Linked DNA regions of Drosophila melanogaster. The protein of the gene in region 3 interacts with the protein of the main gene of each other region in a biochemical or structural test. Each region holds a gene or a part of one and is shown on either strand. Other genes may lie near its edges.

Region 1 (6,768 bases), 4.0 Mb from region 3:
GAGATCCGTCGTTACCAGAAGTCGACCGAGTTGCTCATCCGCAAGCTGCCCTTCCAGCGTCTGGTTCGTGAAATCGCTCAGGATTTCAAGACCGATCTGCGTTTCCAGTCGGCTGCCATCGGTGCCTTGCAGGTGAGAATTATGCTCCAAAGAATCAGAGTGGCTTAACTTAACTAAAAATGACAGGATTCATGGGATTATGAAGGGGGGGCTACTAATATCTAAAAGGAACTTGGTTATCCAACTCATATGAATTTCTCTTGACTTACAGGAAGCATCTGAGGCGTACCTGGTGGGTCTCTTCGAGGACACCAACTTGTGCGCTATCCACGCCAAGCGCGTGACAATCATGCCTAAGGACATCCAGTTGGCGCGCCGCATCCGTGGCGAGCGTGCTTAAGGTGGATCAGCAGGAACGCCAGATTCGATCACTGTCGTCCATTCCCGAACAGTAGACCATTCACGTACCGTTGTAGGAGAGGTGCACGCCAAGGAGCTATACCAGCGACACATTGATCCAATCTATCATTCATATTTACATGTATACATTTATCATCCTTTTGTTGTTCAATCGAATCGTCAGCATGACGTTGTCGATAAGAAAAACACCACACACAAAACAACACACAACATTACTGTAATGCTTAAAAATTATTTTATAACTCTTATTATTACTATTATCAATTAGTTTTTAAGTTTTTTTTCTCGCCTGTGCGTCGTCGGTGTCACCGTGTACGTTGCGCCGTGCTCCTTCTTCTCCAAATCCGGGTCCACCTCTTCGTTTTGGAAGGAGGGAATACCACCGGGCGGCCGTTGTCGCCTGTCCGCCTGCAACATCCGCCACCAACCACTCCAACAACTGTCCAGCTGGCGGGCTTCGGTTTCCAGGTAATCCGTGATCTTTAAGGCGCCTGCCTCGCCTTTATCGCTTCGATCGAGGAGAGGTTCACCATCTGGCTGCCGGGATGTGCGGAGCCTGGAGATCGGGGCCAATCTAACGTCGGCTGGACGTGGCAAGGCGGACAGACGGTTGCGGACCGCCTGGCGGTGATTCCCGGATCTCTGGATGGGCGGCGAGGGCATGGCCGTCTGGCGATGCCACTGACGGCACGCGGCTTTTATGAAGATAATATCCATATATAACACCGAAGACCGAATCGAGTACACTTAACTTTACACTTACGTATATGCATATATATACATAAATACATATATATATAAATATATATATATATATAAATATAAATATAAACCTATGCGGAAGGAAAAGAACTAGATATTAATACTCTTTCTTCTGTTCACTTTTCGTTACTGCAAATCATAATCAGAGCATTATATATATATATATATAGAAGTTATATATATATATATACACATAACGAAGGGATGGGCGTGACAGAGTTAGTTGATTAAATAAGATTTTAGATTTACATGCATTTTATACGTTTAGGCGGACGATAGAAGATGATTCTTCTTCGGGAGATGAAAAAAAGATATAAAGATGATTCAGCAATCAGATTAACTTACACATCTATAGATTTGGAAGAGCATCGAATAAAAATAACCAAGACAGAAATCACATAACAATACAAAATAAAAGCAAAAGCGCCGAGCAGAGCATTGAATATTTCCCAATATTTATATGTAGTTTGAAACACATGCAAAATAATCAATTGTAAACGCCCATAAAACATGCATATATATATATATAAATATACATATAGCTGTAAATTGGTGTCGATAACTAGTTTCACATTGAACATTTAAACAAATCGGACTAAATATGTGTCTATTCGTATCGTCGTAGCTTACAAGAACCAATATGAAAACAGAAAACAAAAAACGAATCCCCCACAAAACACAAAAACAATTTACAACAACAAATCAGTGACAGCAACAGCAAAAATAACTGGAAACATCAGCAAAAAAAAAAAAGAAAATAAAAAATAAACGGTTTTTTCTATAGAAGAAACCAAAAAAACCCAACACCAACGAATTGTATTTTCTGCGAAAGCGAGACGGGAATAGTGTGTACGAGCGGGCGGGATAGGTGGCGATGGTACAGTTGACTCCAAAAATCGAAACCAAACGTCATTTGCTTTGTTTACGTGTGTTAATCTCGGTGCGTGCGTGTGTATGTGTGTTACTCTTGCTCGTTTCTGTGTGTGCAAGTTTGGCTGGCTGCAGCTGTATGTGTGTGGGTGGCTTTGGCGCTGCCCCCTTTTTTTTGTTTGTCTTTGATTTGCGTTTTCAAGGCTGCTATTAACTGGCGCCACCTAGCGGTGGTTCTGTGCCACAGGCGCCCAATAAGTGTTAATAAACCCCTTTGTTCGTAAGCTAAGACGCCCAATAGGGGTTAAGGGCTTATCTTTGTAATTAAATGTTGATATTTATAATAATGTACATTGAAGCAATAATTTATTTAATTTAAGTTACCAATGTTTTCCATCTTTTTGTCAGTGTAAATATCGTTATAACTCAAGCATACCCATTTAAATTGCAAATTGAACGCAAAATTTAAACACCTTTCCACTTACATATAATCGTACATTTAATTTATTTGCATATTTAGCATACAGTCCAGAATGCGACGCACACTCAGTTATTAAAATATTAAAATTAGGCTTCGCGAAAAAAAAGTGATATAAACTTAATTTGAGAATGGGATTGATGTGGAGTTCTTAGGTGTGGCGCCTAAATAGGGATTTCAAGTTAAGAGCATTCCGGTTGTTTGCCTTCCGGAAGTTCCGGGAGGGGACAGCTATGTTACAACACCAGGGATCGATTCATATATAAGTTAGGGACCACAACTAGGATCTGGGTGGTGGGATTCCTTGTCTTAGTCCGCCTCGTGCTTCTCCGCCTCTGGATGCTTGCCAGGTGCTGTTGCCGCTGGCGGAGCTACTCCCCCAGCTACTGCGGCCTCGCCCAGCGGTGCTCCTCCAGCTGGTCCAGGTGGTGCTCCTGGTCCCGCTCCTGCCCCGGGCGTGGGATACACTCCGGCTCCGGGCGCCGCTGCTGCTGCCGCTCCAGCTCCACCGCCTGGGGCCCCGGGTCCTCCACCGCTCGGCTCGTGCAGGTGTCCTGGTGGCGGTTGTTGTTGTTGCTGCTGCTGTGGTGGCGGTGGATTGCTTCCATGCTCCGGCGCATACGGATGCCCGGGATTGCCATTGTGCTGCGGCGGCGGCGGACGCGGTGACATGTAGTGCGAGCCAGGTGGCGGGCCATAGGACTGCTGATACGGCGAGAACGGTGCGTAGTAGGGCTGTGGCGTGGGATGTCCGCCGTACTGGGGCTGGTAATAGGGTCGTGCTGGTCCACCGGGTGGTCCAGGCGGCGGGCCATGTGGTGGTCCGCCGTAGTTAGCATAACCCGTGTGCGGAGGTGGCGGCGGCAGACCGGGCATTCCCGGCGGCGGCTGATGCGGCCCCATGTGCGGTGGCATCAAGGAATGTCCGGGTGGCGGATGGCCGGGATGTGGATGCATCTGCGGCATGCCGGGCGGTGGAGCTGGCCCGCCCTGTTGCTGCGGCAGTGGCACCTGTTGTGGCACCGGCGGTGGCGTTGGTGTCGTCGTCGTTGTTGTGGTCGCTGCAGTAGCTGCTCCGGCCGCTGGAGCCACCTCAGGCGGCGGTGTGGGTGTCGGCACCGGTGTGGGCACCTTGCCGGGCTGGGCCACCACTTTGGCGGGTTCCGTTTTGGGTGGCTCGACTAGCGTTGACTGCGGAGGCAGGGCAGCGGCCATCTCCAGCTTCTCTGGCTTGATGGGTGGCGGCGGAACCGATGGCTTCGGCGGTGGCTCAATGTCCATGGGCTCGGGATCCGTTTTGCTGGCAGTTTCGTGCACGTGCACCGCTGGCGCCGGCGTAGGCGTTGAACTCGGTGTGGGATTGAGTGTAGCGGGCTTCACAGCCGGCGGTGTCTCCTTGGGCGGAGCTGCTGGCGCTGGTACCGCCGACGCCGGCTCTTGGCCAGCGGGTGTGGCAGCGGGCTGACCTGGCTGCGTTGGCGGCTTCACTGCCTCCTCGCTCCTCGTCACTGGAGCGGCGGCAGCTGTAGCGGCAGCTGCAGCAGGATTCGCTGCGCTATTCGCATTCGCATTCGGTTCATCCAATCGCTGGCGATCGCGCTTGATGTCCTCGTACATGCGAAGCACCATCTTCTGGAAAGTTTCCTCGTCGACCGCCGGCTTGCAGTGGCGCTTTAGCTCCTCCTGGAAGGCTTCGCTGGACTCCACCATGCGCTGCTTCTTGGCCTCGAACTTCTCCTCCATCTGCTGCAGTTCCGCCTCAAGTTTGGTCTGGTGCATCGTCAACGAGCTGACCTGCCGCTTGAGCACCTGCATCCGCGTGGTGGTCACCACTGAACGCACATCTGGTACAACGGCCTCCGAGAATATCTCGTTAATCAGGCGATGGTTGTGCAGATAGCGGGCGTAGGCCAAGTGCTTGGTCGTATACCCTTCGTCCTGGTCATCCTCGTCCTCCGCCGGCTGAATGTCGATGCGTCGCTCATGCTGCGACTTACTGCCGCCACCGCGTGACGGTGTCTCATGCATATCCACGTCGGTCTTCACCTTGCTCTTGGCCGACATGTAGGCCTGATAGGCGGGCGTCTGGTGGTAGGCCTTTAGCGATTTCTCGTACTCCAGCTTCTCCGCCTCGTATTCGTCAATGAACTCCGTCTTCTCATCCTCGGGCAGCAACTTCCACATGGCACCGATCTTCTTACCCAGCTCCCACAGCTTCAGCTCTGGATGCTTCGCCTTGACGCTATCCCAGACGCGTTTCGAATACCGCATGTAGGGCAAAATGGGCTTCTCCGGCGGCTTTGGTGGCTTGGGTAGCCTTGATTCGTTCTGGTTCTTGCTGCTCGACGACTTGGTTACCTTCTGTGGCGTGAATGCCGGATTCCCATAGTTGCTGTGCGTGAAGATGGGCGTCTGATCCTTGTTGCGATCGCCACCACCTCCGCCGCCGGATGAACGCGACCGGCTGCCGCCGCCGGAGCCACCGCCGCCGCCCTGGAGTGGTGTGGCCGATCCCTGGCCGCCAACGGCTATCTGCTTGTAGTTGCTTGGCAGGGCCATCTTTGTGCAATTCGCTGGTCAAATTTGTATGGATTTTCCAAGAGAAATAACAATTTTCAGACAGACGCCATTTTCTGTCGGCGTTGGTGGAGGTGTGGCCGTATCTGATTCTAAGAAAAATCATATAAGCCGGGAATTGGTATATATAGCGGAATATATATGATAAGGAAATAGTAACTGCTAGAGAATATACAAAATTTTAGTTACCTAAAACTAGCAGAACACTTTAGCTGAATTGCTGCTACTAATAAAAAAAATCTGTAACTTCTCATTTTTATTCAGCTTTATAGAAATCAAAAATTATACCACACTAGAATCTAGAAAATACCAACGGCAAATCATTTTCCATTAAGTTGGCAGCCCCGCAACTGGGATTTGTAAAATATAAACAAATCGTAAACAACTAAAAAATGTTTGCCGGTCGTTTGATGGTCCGTTCGATCGTTGGTCGGGCATGCTTGGCCACCATGGGCAGGTGGTCAAAGCCCCAAGCACACGCCAGCCAAGTGATCCTGCCCAGCACACCAGCGATAGCCGCAGTTGCTATTCAATGCGAGGAATTCACTGCCAACCGGCGATTGTTTAGCAGTCAAATTGAGACGGAATCCACATTGGACGGCGCCACCTACGAGCGTGTGTGCTCCGACACCCTGGACGCACTGTGCGACTACTTCGAGGAGCTGACGGAGAACGCCTCCGAGCTGCAGGGCACGGATGTGGCTTACAGCGTAGGTGACATTCGGCTATTACATCATTCCATTGACCTGCTAATCCTCGCGGGGTTTCCGCTTCCACAGGATGGCGTGCTAACCGTGAACCTGGGAGGACAACACGGCACCTATGTGATCAACCGGCAGACGCCCAACAAGCAGATCTGGCTCAGTTCGCCCACCAGCGGTCCCAAGCGATACGATTTCGTCGGCACTGTGGCGGCGGGCAGATGGATCTACAAGCACAGTGGTCAGTCGCTGCACGAACTGTTGCAGCAGGAGATACCCGGCATACTGAAGTCACAGTCCGTGGACTTCCTACGCCTGCCCTACTGTAGTTAATTCCGTGATTAGTTTAAATTCTCCTCCATAAAAAGTCGGTTGAAACGTTCGATTTTGATATATTTATTGTTCTTCATCTGTTGGCACAGTGGTCACTCGATATACATGGAACTGCTGCTGCTGCGGATGAGCAAAGGTATATACTTATACTTCCCTGGAGCTGTGAAGCTTAGCTTCTGGTATAAATGCTTTGCATTCGCTTATTCATTTATGTACGATTAGTTTTGGTTTCGAAGTTTAAATTTGTTGTTTTTGAGAGGAATAAACTTAAAAATCAGTTGTTTAATGTATAAATCAAATAATAATAATCAAATCACCATTGAAGAACATCATATGTAGCTATACATATTTTATTTTATTTTATTATTTGTCACTTGTACGTTCCATTTCGTTTATTTTTATTTCAATACACAGAATTCAGAACTCAAAGCTCCCCCAGCTAATAATTCCAAACGAAAGTCGATTAAAGTTGATTTCCGGAATTATTGTGTATGTTTATTCACGTGCTCTTCAGATTTATGTTTTCTGAATTCTATTGTTGTTCGGTGTTTTATAAACAAATGAAGGTAGTGATTATTTTCTTTTCTTTTTTTTGGCAGCAGCACACATGTATGGTAAAAAAAAAAA
Region 2 (6,914 bases), on a different chromosome or scaffold from region 3:
TTGGATAGCAGCGCTTCTAGACTCTTTTTCAGCCTTTTTTTTTTATTTCGCACTAGCTACCTACACATAGAGACACACCAACACTGAGCCATAAACAAAAGCTCTCGAAGGTCGCATCACATCGCATCGCATCGCACCGCATCGCACACGTCTAACCCTAGCGGATCGCTTTGATTTGTGTGCTCACACATAGATTTGTTTATATTTCTCTGTCTAATCGTCGACATAAAAGTTCGTTGACTCCCATTCCGAGACATCGCATCTACATCCGCACCACACCACACCAAACCAAACCATTCATGAAGTACAAAAACAATCGATCCTACTGCAGTGACATCAAATATGCCAGAAGCAGGCAGACCGATGACTACATAGACACGGAATCGGGCCACAAATATGAGTTTGTTGGGCTGCGGCGGGTTAGCCCCCTAACTACCACACTACCCCACTAATAAAACAATTAACCGGTTTCCGTTTAATTCAAAACGTGAAAAAATCATATCACGTGCTTCTCCATTGGGGCCAACAAACCAAGCAAACCAAACCAAACACCAACTTCAAGCGCATTATCGCTTGACACAACTGATAGGCAAATTCTTGATATCAGGGATTACAAAGAGTAAAACACAAAACGAACTGTGAAAAAAATCTACAGGTACTACAAGTTCATAACCAACCAAAAACATTATATTTCTGTTTATCCATTAAAACGTATAAGGTGTGGGTTGTGGGTCGGTGTGTCCATTAGTTAAATTGTATAGGATTGTATGTTTTCACACGAGCGACTTTTTACGGTATCTTTATGTTCCGTATAACACTTTTTTACATTCGCTTTTAATACTATGGAGTTATATCGACTGATAAAAATGGCTTGACTCATTACTATATTACTGTTTGATATATGTTTTTTGTTGTCTATAATTATAGTCATGTCAAGAAAACAGTAAGAAATAACTACTTCATTAACTGTGTAACAAACCCCTTTCCATCTTTTGCAAGTTTTGAGTAGTAGTATCCACTTCTTTCTTTTAACGTTTAACACTAACAATGCAATGATAAGCTTTAAAATTATTCCAATCAGACACGAGGCCAACAGGCCGTCGATAATGTTGACATGAAGGGGACAGGAAACCCTAAAAACCCTAAAGAATGTGAATGAATACCTCAACATTTTTGTGTACGAAACTCTTTCTTGTTATTCCGCTGCTTCTTCTTCTTTGTCTTCTTATTTTACCGTTGCGGTGCGGCCTTTTGTTGTTATTGTTTTGCGGCGGCAAGTGCCGGTTCTCTGCTGTCCGTCTCCCTCACTCTCACCCGGCTTCGCCCAGTAACAACAACTAAAGCACAACAACACCCGGCACTTAAACAGCGAATTTTCAAGGGGATGGGGGTATCTACAGGAGGAGGAGGAGCAGGGAACTAAGTGGGAGGGGCGGGCGAAAAAGGCGCGGAATCTGAGTACAATGTTTTTACGTTATGTGTGTCAGTGTGTCTGCCGCTTCTGCCCCTTTTTTATATTCTTTCCTTCGAGTGGGACTTGGCAAATCCTCAGTGAACTGAATGAAGTGCGACCAAGACGAAACCCTAAAAAGTAACAGTAAATATTGCAGCCTCCCTCCCACGCACACACACATACACACACACTCCCAAACGAATACATGTGCACAAAACGTGACGAGCCCCTCTCCATGGAATGAGTGGGCAGTGGGTGTGTGGAGTGCGGTGGGGTAGGAGATTGGGGGAGGGAGATAGCTAGCACAAAGCCACCAGCGACAACCGCACCAACAACAGCATGAAACACATGCCGTGGAGGCCTGCACATGGAAATACTCCAGTAAGTAAGTGTGTGTGGGTTTGGGGTCGATGGAATCAAAATCAGTGTCAATGTCAAGACAGCTCTAAAATAAAAAAAAAATACATAAGGAAACCCCTGGCGATAAGATTCTTGGTATTCAGTCTTTAAGAGGTTGCCTTTAGGCACAATGACACCATTTCTGGTGCAACAACTAGATCATTTAATATTCTTTTCGGAAAATGGTTATTTTGTTACAGAATACACAACATTTATTGTGTCCTTTTCATTAAGTTTCTATCCTGGAAGGCGTTTAAGCTACCATCCAGTTTTTCGTTACTTTAAAGCCGAAGGTTGCCCCCGCAATATTGAGAATAAATATGAAATAAGATACTATAACTTGAAAAGACAACCGCATTTTCTATTTTCGGAAGCTGTGAATTAAAACGAATCATAAAAACACTGCTTTTGGTAAATACTTCAAGGCATTCCTAAACAACGTATTACACCGGAACAAAGTATTTACAACTATTTCAAGTTCGGAGACTATTTAAGCCGAATACTCTTGACTTTTAGATGTATCTTCCACAATATCTTGTATCTACAGAACTTTCAAACATTTTTATGGACTTGCAATGATTTCTCGTGAACGCAACTAAATATACCTTTCAATTTACAACTTTTCTATCCCAAAAAAGCATGTTATCCTTGTTATCCCCAAATATCCCCTTTTTGATCACTTACCGGTGGTGGTGTCCTGTACTGCTGTGACGGTCCCAGTTGCGGACTGTAGGGCCTTGGTGGCGGTGCCCAGCCGCCCTGTTGCCCTCCGTACGGCGATGGCTGGTGCTGCGGTGGCGGCGGTCCATGTCCTGGTGGAGGGGGTCCACCGGCCTGCTGTTGCTGAGCCGCCGCTGCCGCTGCCGCCGAAGCGGCCGCCTGCTGGGGATCGTAGGTGTTGGCGTAGCGATGCTGCGGCGGAGGCGGCGGATTCGAGGACTGAAGCAGAGAGTTTAACGTTGGCGTGGGTCCCTGCGGAGGCTGACCGGGTATGTAGCGCTGCTGGGGCGGACGATTAGGTGAGCCACCGGGCCCCGGTTGCTGCGGGGGTTGCTGTTGAGGATGTGGCTGTTGTTGTTGTGGAGGCTTTCCACCTGGCAGCGGCTGGCCATAGCGATATGGATCCATGTTGGGATCGGCGTGGTAGCGACCATACGCCGGATGTGGATGAGGCGGCGGCAAGTGAGTGTACTCCTCCTTGACACCGGGCGCATGCTCAGGTGCTCCTCCGGGCGGTGGTGGTGCAGGTCCGCCGTGGTGCTGCTGTTGCTGCATATGGGGTGGTGGCGGATGCTGCTGTTGCTGCTGGTGCAGATGATGATAGTGCATGACTGCAGCTGGGTCCGGTCCTGGTGGTCCTCCAGGACCAGATCCTGGGGGCGGTGGTGCGCCGTATGGATGTGGGGCAACATTTTGTTGTTGCTGCTGGATGCTGGGATCGCTACCGTTGTTGCTGTTGTTGTTGGGTGTGGGCGGGCCCGAGGTTGGCGGTGTAGCGGCACCAGGAGCCGCTCCAGCCGATGGGGGCGTGGCAGCAGGGGCGGGAGCGCCACCTTGCTGCTGCTGCTGTGTTTGCGGCGACTTTATTTTCTCATTCATGGCTGCTCATCGGCTTCTGGCTGCGCTGCTCCCGATCTCCCAGATTTTCCGGATCGGATTTTCCCAGATGTGTGGCGGCTACTGATGGAACACCGGTAACCACCAACAACAACAACGCTGACGCTGATGATGACGACGACTGCAGCGGCGAGTTTGAGGTTATGTTAGCTGCAAGTTATCAAAAACGGGGGATTAGCATTTGGCAAAGGGGGTCTGGCTTATTAAAGGGGGCAGTCCTATATCACTGGGCCTAAATCGAGCGGGTTAAACATAAATAATTTGTACTCGTTCGTGGGCTGTTGTGTATTGAAAAGTCCGCTACTAACACACGCACACACATGCTCACTCGAACAGGCAGCACCAATACCACAACAATTTATTTTCCGCCGCGTACGGTGGGCAAATCGTAGTGCGTTGACAACCCTGCCGCAACCGCTCTCGCAGTTTGAGCGCATCCACTCTCGTTGGCGCTCTCGCTCTCTCTTTTCACATTTGGCGGCTATACACGCACACGCCGTATCCCTTTCCGTCTCACTTGCACTTGCTCGCCATCCAGGCTGAAGGCATATGGCGCTCTCGCTCGCTCGCTCACTCTCTCCCTTGCTCGCTTTATTAGTTTCTGTGTGAAACGAATGAAACGGGCAGCACAGTAATGATTTTTTCGTAATTATTTTCTATGCCGATTTTTCGCGTTTACACAGCACTGGAATGGAATGGACGAGGGGGCATCATCTCACAATTGTTTAACTTATTTTCTTTTCGTGAGTGGGAGAGAGAGGGGGGCTAACGCTTAAGATTTATAAATAATTGCCGCGCCTGCTTGGCCGCGTTTGTTGCGCGTTCACTTTTGGCCGCTGCCGTTGTCTTGAGAGGCTCTCTTTTTTTGTTCGGCTGCTTGCGTTTTCCTGCGGTTTTTCGCCAAGTGTTTATGAAGATGATGATGATGCAAGGATTCGACATCCAATCATTTGCATATGTATACACACACGCACTCACTCGCACACACACTCACACAGCCTCCAAAGTGCATCGTCGAGAGGAGAGAAACTGAATTTTTCACTCGCCCTCGGGCGAAAGTCCGGCGGCAGATTTGTTGTTGGGCCAAGAAGACTCAATATATATTTTGCGGGGCGCTTTGGTTTTTGGGGCTTTTCTTAACCAGAAATCTACATACACGCACACCACTTACACATAGAAGAATATTCACGCATTGACGACCGTCCACAGACTGGCTATATATACTAAAAACGAACTCGCGTGAGAAGACAGGGACAGGGCAGCAAACTCGGTATACGAACGGAACGAAATGAAACGATTCAAGTAGTAGTGTATGCAAGTCTTGTCTGTCTGCGCCTGGCGTTCTTTTCTCTTCTTTTTTTCGATGGTTTTTCGCCAGGCTGGGCGCTGCCAAAACGCTGATACGGCGGCCACAATCACACGCGGCTAATCGCCAGTTGGGCCCTGCACAGGCTGCACATACTTTTCACTATTAATGCGCTGTATTTCACTTATTTTTCGAACAAATTCGCAGCATGACGAAGAAGCGAGCCTGTACAAGATTAGAGCGGGTAGCACGCACGATAGTATCGATACGTACGAGTATTTGGCACTGCGATACATTATCGGTGCTCGTTTCGATAGCCCCCGATAGCTCTAGCACGAAATTTTATCGCTTTATCCATATTTTATACTATTTTTATTTATTGGACTTCAATGAATATTTATTTTACGTTCTGGTTCGCTTTTTAAATATATATGGTAATCAATAGCTGGCGAATTAGCGATATTTGAGTGTGACGCAAAAATGAGTTGGCATCGATATCGATTTCTCGCTACTCTGGGACGCCATCTTTATTGCGGTATTTTAAACGGAAACTTAACTCAAATTAAACGGCGTGCTAAAATTTTCCATTTTTTTCGAATAAAAGCACGTAAAAGTTTGTGAAGATGTAAAAGTTATAAAAACTAGAAAGCCTTATTCGTGGCCAGCGCTTTCGTTTTAGAAATACGTCAATTTAAAGTTTTTAAGGTAAATTGCAAAATTGCAATAATTGCAATAATATAATAATAATAAAATTTTGGTAAGTTATAAGAGAGTAAATACAATTTTGAAAGTTTATACCCCCGTTAACAAACCACTTGAATTTAGAGTGGCAGAACTATGCAACTACAGCGAGTTTAAACATCGATATATTCGTGATTTTTGGTTTGCTTATTATCGATTCCATACAAAACTACCGGCATAAGCAATTTTAAAATAGACGTAAACAACATCAACGTAATTAATCCACAAAAACAAATTCTTTTATTAATTTTAATTGATGCAATACATTTTAATTTTTGTGAAACTCTAAATATCAATAGTCGCCCTATGCATTGATCATTGTCACAAACATTGTTAAAATTTATTAAATTTATTTTGGTAGAACACTAGGTTTTCGATTTACTGGCTTCCGGATTTTTACTCATAGGTTTTAAAAATATTTTTTGCCAAGGATATCAACTAAAAAAATATTTGTTTATTTTTTTATAATATTAATGAAATTCTATATTGAACATTTTTATTTTTTGAACTGCTTGCACAATTTGCTAATAAGAGAAGTTGCGCTTAACAGTAAAATGTTACTGACATTAACAGCACACGTACGAGAATTACAGTACACTGCTTTCGACTTGCTGTGATATCGAGCATTCCTGGTATCGAGTGCAAAATGGCGGCATTTTAAGTTCAATTTAACACGATTAGGTTGAGCTTGTCGATTCTTTTTTAAGTATAAGCCAACAAATGTTTCATTAAACGCATAATGAGTCGCATTTTATTTATTTTGTTGCTACTTATTGTGACGCAACTGAGCGAGTTGCAGGCGGCAGCATTTTCTGTGCGCCAAAATCGTTTTGATGAAGTTCCTGATTTGCAGACTCCTGCACCTCTGGCCACTTCCACTGAATCTTCTAAGAAACCCGAAAAAGGTTGGTTACATATGTACGTTTAGTGATATAAATTGAATATCTCGGCAATTTCAAAATGGCGTAAAGGGTGAAAGTGTTCTTGTCCGCTCTCTGTGAATATAAGTTACGGTTAATCGCTCTACACTGAAAACAACTGCATAAAAAACTTTCATATTTACATAATTAACAAAATCAAATTTTTGTAAAATTAAATACAATATAATATAAAAGTATAATTGTTTCTTCAATTTTAAAATTATATTTTTATGGTTATTTTTATTTCGTAAATTGTACAAATTTGGTCTTTCTGTGTAGCTACCAGTGGTCTGCTGAAAAAATGCCTTCCCTGCAGCGATGGTATAAGATGCGTGCCCCAAATCCAGTGTCCCGCCCACGTTCGCATGGAAAGCCATGAAAAGCCCCAAATTTGCGATCTCCCGGCTGGAAAATTCGGCTACTGCTGCGAGACTGGACAGAATCACACTGCTCCCAAGCCGGAGACCTCTCCCAAGGA
Region 3 (6,307 bases):
TGCTTGGAGATTCCGAGAAAGGTGCAGCAGCCGCTGTCCAGGAGAAAGAAAAGAAGAAAGCCTCCACCACTGGACGTCCCAGCACCCACATCCGATCGAATGTTTACGTCACCCTGCTCAACGATCTCTATTCCGTTTCGCAAGCGGATGTCCCACCTGAAATGGCCCCCTTGATACGTGTCAATCGCAATCAACAGATCTTGCCCATCCTGCAGACTGATACATTTAATACGCGGCTAAAGGATCTAGTGCCCGTCACCCGCAATACCACCGAATTCACATTCAGCTTCCACTACAAGCCCGTGGGCGTGGGCAAGCTCCGTCTAATGCTGCTCATGGAACACGCCACCCAGGCGCTGCTCACCATTGGATTTGCTACCAAGGATATTGACGAGGTGAAAGGCATCTTTTCGGACACCAATGTATACCTTTTGTGTGGCACCATCTTTGTGTCCAGCATCCATGTGAGTAGAGATTGAAAAATTGCAACATACGTCATATGCTCCAGTCCTATAACTAATTTATGTTTCCCTTTTCCCGCAGATGCTCTTCGACTTTTTAAGCTTTAAGAACGACGTGGCCTTTTGGCGCAAAAAGCAGTCGTACGAGGGGCTATCAAGCCGCACCACAATGTGGCGAGCGTTTTCGCAGATCGTGATCTTTTTTTATCTGCTAGATGAGAATACGTCGTATCTGGTACTTGTGCCAGTTGGCCTGGGCACGCTCATTGAGCTGTGGAAGTGCAAGAAAATCTTCCGTCTGGAGCTTAGCTTCAGTGGCCTGGTTCGTCGCAAGCTGGAGCAAGTTGACCGGCGGAATGGTGACCAAGCTGGCGTGAAGTCAGGTCAGCTGGCGGAGGAGCAGAAGACTGATCAGTTTGACAGACAGGGCATGCGATATCTGAGCTATCTGCTGTATCCGCTTTGTATATGCGGAGCGGTCTATTCGCTCCTCTACCAACCACACCGCTCCTGGTACTCATGGACACTTAACTCACTGGTGAACGGAGTTTACGCCTTCGGTTTCCTGTTCATGTTGCCGCAACTGTTTGTAAACTACAAGCTGAAGTCTGTGGCCGCATTGCCGTGGCGCGCATTTATGTATAAAGCATTTAATACCTTCATCGACGACTTCTTCGCCTTCATCATCACCATGCCCACGGCCCATCGGGTGGCCTGCCTGCGCGATGATATTGTGTTTATTATCTATCTGTATCAGCGCTGGCTGTATCCGGTTGACAAGAGTCGGCTGGACACGGGTCTGTCCATTAGCGAGACCCCGGATACGGGCAACAGCTCATCCGCTTCCATTGCTGCCAATCGCAAGAAGCGAAATTGATCCTATATCAGCAAAAGGAGTAAAGGTTGCACATTCCGCCTATAGCTTGAGGTCTAGCCCGAGACGTAGTAATCCGAGTCCGTCTTTAGTTTACTAGTGATATTAATCCTGTGTTGTAGTCTAAACCGTTTAAAGCTTGTGCGTAAATCGTTAAGTTAAGAAGCATCAACTGAAAATGCGTTTTATACAATTTTAAATCAACAGCATCAAAGGATTGCAGAACTATGGAACTTACTAAAACACATAATTTTAAAGTATAAATTATGAAATATTGTGAGATGACTCAAACGCTGGCCTTTCACATTGTTAGATTGGTCAGCTAAAACCCTACAATAATATATCCAAATGTAGATCAAAACGTATTTTAGAAACAATCAGTTAACATGAAATCGTATAGGATCGTAAGGCTACAAGTGATTCTAAAATCTCAATTAACCAACAAATGCATTTTCTAAAATTTAAAGGGAACCCAAAAGTATCAAAAGGCTAAATATATATAAAGTCAACTGAAATCACTCGTAATAAAAATTAAACTTTAGTGTTTCTAAAAGTGAACCGAATCAAATTTTATAGACAGTTTTATATTTGTATGCCATTTTATTAGCTTACAGTTAAGTCCAATATTTGTGCTGGATGTGGGTATTTGGGACAACTGCAAAGGGGATTTTCGTTTTGGAACGGGATGGAGTTCGGCTTGTCGGAAAAAAAGGAAATATTTTAAGCTTAAACTAAACTGGCGAAGGAAAAAGAGTTTGCCGTGCGCACGGTTTATGGAGGTCTCTTGACGGTGGACTCCACGAATTGGCTGGTGGAGATGATCAGCTCATCATTCACCTAGCCGTTGCGTATGCCCAGCGCCTGCTCCAATTCGGCCCGCTTCTGGTTGACCTTGGTGAAGAAGTAGCGCGAAACGGCCTCGTGCGTCCATGGCTGGTAATAGAACTCCGCCCGACGCTCCTCCTCCGGATTGCCAGCTACATCGGTCATCAGCTGAAAGGACGAAAGGTTTAGACAACGGTATGAGGCAAAAAAGAAAAAAAAAGAACTAACCTTCAAATCCCTCGTCTCACTGATGATCCAGCGATGAATAAACATTTGTGGATCCTTGGCGAAGCTTAGGAAGAACTCCCTGTTCGTCTTCATCTGGTTGATCGTGTCCACCGTCTCGTGGATCTTGGTGTCCAGCCCCTGGATCTCCTGTTGGCTCGCAGTGCTCATCAGGAAGCTGTTCATCTGGTTTTTGAGCGTATCATCCACCTCCACATCGATGTCGTAGCAGGCAGTCTGCTTGTTCTCTGCACCGCTCTCAATGAAATGATTGATCACAATCGGATCGGGCGGATGCAGCAGCGGATTGAGGCGTTGCGGTATCTCGGCAAACTTCATCCGCTGGCAACTGAATATCTGCTCCAGATACTTGTCGCAATTGATGTACTCCCGCTCGTGGGCATCCTGTAGCTTGTGCGTCTTGATGTACTGCCACAGGGCGGATATGATCACCGGCCTGGTCTGTGTGTGTACGCCCAGCAACCTGGCGAGTCGCGGGTCCAGCTTGAACTGCAGCGGCTGGTAGTCAAGCAGCAGGAGGATGGTGCAGCGCACATTGCGATCGCCCGGCCGCTTCACCTGGAACCCGTCCGTCTCCTGGGTGGTGTGAGTGCGATGCCACTCGACCAGATGGTTGTCCGGACCGTACAGTTCCTTATCCAGCTCGATAACCAGCGACTTGAAAAACGACGAAAACTTGCGTTTGATCTTTGTATTGGGATCGCCCTTGCCATCCTCTAACAGGCGACCCTCCACCCGCAATTCCCAAGAGGCAACGGCGCCCTCCTCGCCATCATTTGTGGGCTCCTTGCTGGGATAGAATGTGTTCGAGATGAAGATGCGCAGCTTGCGCTTCTGCTTCATGGGGCGCTTGAGGGCCTCCTGGATGTCCAGACGTTTGCGCATTATGGTGGCATCCAGTTTTCGCTCAAACGTCAGCAGATCCATGTACGCTTGCGATTCGGGCACCAGATCCCGCACCTTCTGCGGCAGTATCTTTTCGGCCAGCTTCTTTTTCTTTTTGGCCGTCGCAAAATCACTTTTGCTACCACCGCCACCCAAACTGCGGGATTCATTTGACCTCTTGCTGCCTCCGCCGGATCCAACACCGCCACCTCCGGCTCCAGTACCGCGAAGGCTGCTCTGAAAGCCCGGCTGTTGGGCGGCGCGCTGCAGTAGCGATGGTCCCGGTACGCCGGGTACTCCAGGAACTCCCGGTACCCCGGCCACGTTCGCCGTGCCGGGAACAGGTTGAGTAGTGTTCGGATGCAGGGGAAACCCGCGCGGCTGTTGCGGATAAGATTGTACATGCTTAATTGAAACGGTAGGTGCTGGATAATGCGTGGAAAACTCACTGGAAAAGAGGCGCCTGGCGGCGGATAGGGACGCATGCCGGGCGCCGGTGGTGGTGGCTGATAACGCGACTGCACCGGCGCTTGGCCAGGTGCAAAGCGTTGCGACATCTTTGCTACGAAGTCCTCCCTTTTTTCCAGCCGTAAACAATTGCCCTTTGCAGACGAAGGAAAATTTCTGCCTTTTTGTTTCAATACAACAACGCGTCAAACACACACACAATTTCGCCTGTAAAATGGCGTCAAAACAGGGATGCACTATTACTGGTGGTGGTCGACTGGGCGATAGATATTACAACGTTTGGCAGGGCTGCGGCTATCATTTTGCACTTTAATCGAAGTTATTCATTTCAATAGAGTTACAGCTATATAGTTGGCTTTGAAAATATACTTAAAAACTTTCAAGACATTTGTAACAAACAAACAATACGATAAGGAATATACTAGCACTTGCTACTATCGATCGAAAACATTGGTTTGCCCAAACGCTCGATAGTTGCAGTGTCAAGCCATAAACATAAGCAATATCGATAGTCGCCAATAAGTTCGGACAAGTAACGTCTTCTGAAATCGAAGAACGATAGGTTTGAAACCGACTGTCATTTTAACACAGAAAACAAATGGAAATGGAAGACAATTGGTGGGTCACCAAGTTAAAGGCTCTGGAGTCGAAGCCACAAAGGCTGGATGCGCTGACCGCCATGAACTCAGCCATCGCAAAGGAGGCGGCTCTTCCGCGTCAAATAATTGAACGCCTGCTGACCACGGACCAATTGTATGACTGCGCCAATCCCGCCGCGGATTCCCATGTTCCCAAGGATCAGGCCGTGGACGTGACCCTGGAATTGCTGTGCCACTGCCTTGATCAGCTGGCGATGGACACCGCCGACGAGCAGCTGTCCAGTCTGCTAAGACGTGGCTTGACCCACTCGAATCCAGCCTTGCGTGCCCAGGTGTTGGCCAGTTTGTTCAAGAAGCTGCTTCGCCAGTTGACCGTCGGTCAGGTTCTCACCCTGCCCAACAATGAGCTTATTTTCCTCATCTTGGACGAGCTGAAACAACCGGATACGCAGAGTACCTCTCTGGCCATCAATATCCTATCCATCGTGCTGCCTCAGCGAATCAGCAATGCCGATGTGCAGGCAAAGCTAGTACAGCTCCTAAAGCAAAATGAGATCGTGCGCTGTCGCGCCTACGAATTGGCAGTGGTCCTGGCCAAGAAAAGTGCCACCTTACTCAGTGACGTTACATTTATTCTGGATGCGGCTCTCAGCGAACTGGATAACGACGATGTTTTATTGCAGGCTAGCGTAATGGAGCTCCTAGTGCCACTGGCCGAACAAAACCATGGTCTGTCCTACATGGAACGTCGTCGCGTTTTGGATATAATCAGCTATCGGGTCCAACGCGTCGAAGAGCATCCGCTAGACGCCCTGCTCGTTCCCAGCATTATGAAGTTTTTCGGCAAAATTTCCGTATACCAGCCTCTGAAAATCATTGGCGGCTACCCGCACATGCTGGCCTGCTTGTTCATGCAGCTTCAATCGGAGGATGAGAGTATTCTGCCCACTGCCATGGATACGCTTGCCAATTTGGCCACTACTCCACAGGGCAAGATACTGCTGAACATGCACTTTAGCGGGGCCATGGAGAAGTCCTTTAAGAAGTATGGCTCGCATACTAAGAAGCTATCGGCGCACATCAAGAAGAGGCTGCTCAACTCCCTGGATGTGATTTATGACTTCAAGACGCCGCCTGCCACAGAAATCATGTAATGCTTAACTCTATAATTGAAGTTTTTCTTCTAATGATTCTCTTCTTTTTCAGTAACATTGGTAAAAACTGGTACGAGTGCTTCGCTGGGGGAGCGCATGCTAATATCATTATGGACCTGATAAACACTCCGTTCCCCGATCTTCAAATGGCCGCCTTGTCGTTCTTGAAAACCATTTGTAAGTACAACTGGGGCATTGTAGCTCTAAAGAATACCGGCGGTGCTGTGGAGTTCCTTCTTTCGCGTCAAAAGGATCTGCACAGGGACATTAAGTATATGAAGTGGCAAATTATGGAGATTCTGTCCGCTAGCGCTGAGTTTTCGCCCACCGAAACCATCCGTTTCACGGCCTATGTGAACGAGGGACCCTATCACGTCCAGGCGGATCTCGATGTAGCCACTGAACCTCAGGGCAACGCATAGAAAGCCGGATGGCAGGCATTTGCGGCCTTCGATTGCAAGTCCTATGTTCAAAAGCTTCAATTAACATCTGAATATGTATTTATAAAATTAAAATTTGATTTAACTATTAGATCACATGTAACAATATCCCATTGGGCAGGTCGAATAAATGGGGATGCAACAAATAGTTAGGATATTCTTTGGACAGTTGTAAGAGGTTTGCCTTAAAACGATTGGTAAAATAAATAATATACAAAAAAGAAACTTAAATAGCTGGAATCTCTTGTCTAAGGTTTATGTTATCATATCCTCAAATGTTATAAGTAATTTAAAATTGATATTAGAATAAGTATCAATAAGTACGTATAATACCAATAGTCTAAGGGACCAATTA

What was found.
Region 1: the proteins of Bap60 (region 3) and Bap111 form a complex in vitro, tested with the Drosophila melanogaster proteins (one study listed by BioGRID).
Region 2: the proteins of Bap60 (region 3) and osa form a complex in vitro, tested with the Drosophila melanogaster proteins (one study listed by BioGRID).

What each region holds. Positions count from the first base shown.
Region 1 is NC_004354.4:9,147,744-9,154,511, reverse strand, and holds Bap111 (brahma associated protein 111kD), read right to left. Parts: upstream 5,204-6,768; 5' UTR 5,090-5,203; coding exon 2,840-5,089; 3' UTR 2,536-2,839; downstream 1-2,535. Other genes in the region: His3.3B (histone H3.3B), read left to right, coding at 1-132, 272-400; fh (frataxin), read left to right, coding at 5,500-5,817, 5,887-6,141.
Region 2 is NT_033777.3:17,713,316-17,720,229, forward strand, and holds the start of osa (osa), read right to left. Parts: upstream 5,036-6,914; 5' UTR 4,641-5,035; intron 3,620-4,640; 5' UTR 3,452-3,619; coding exon 2,537-3,451; intron 1-2,536. Other genes in the region: Pxt (Peroxinectin-like), read left to right, coding at 6,256-6,421, 6,716-6,914. UniProt on the Drosophila melanogaster protein: Trithorax group (trxG) protein required for embryonic segmentation, development of the notum and wing margin, and photoreceptor differentiation. Required for the activation of genes such as Antp, Ubx and Eve.
Region 3 is NC_004354.4:13,155,526-13,161,832, forward strand, and holds Bap60 (brahma associated protein 60kD), read right to left. Parts: upstream 3,984-6,307; 5' UTR 3,849-3,983; coding exon 3,741-3,848; intron 3,673-3,740; coding exon 2,389-3,672; intron 2,329-2,388; coding exon 2,173-2,328; 3' UTR 1,920-2,172; downstream 1-1,919. Other genes in the region: CG4332 (uncharacterized protein), read left to right, coding at 1-464, 544-1,338; CG12096 (uncharacterized protein), read left to right, coding at 4,358-5,508, 5,565-5,934. UniProt on the Drosophila melanogaster protein: Involved in the recruitment and site-specific anchoring of the Brahma complex at specific promoter sites.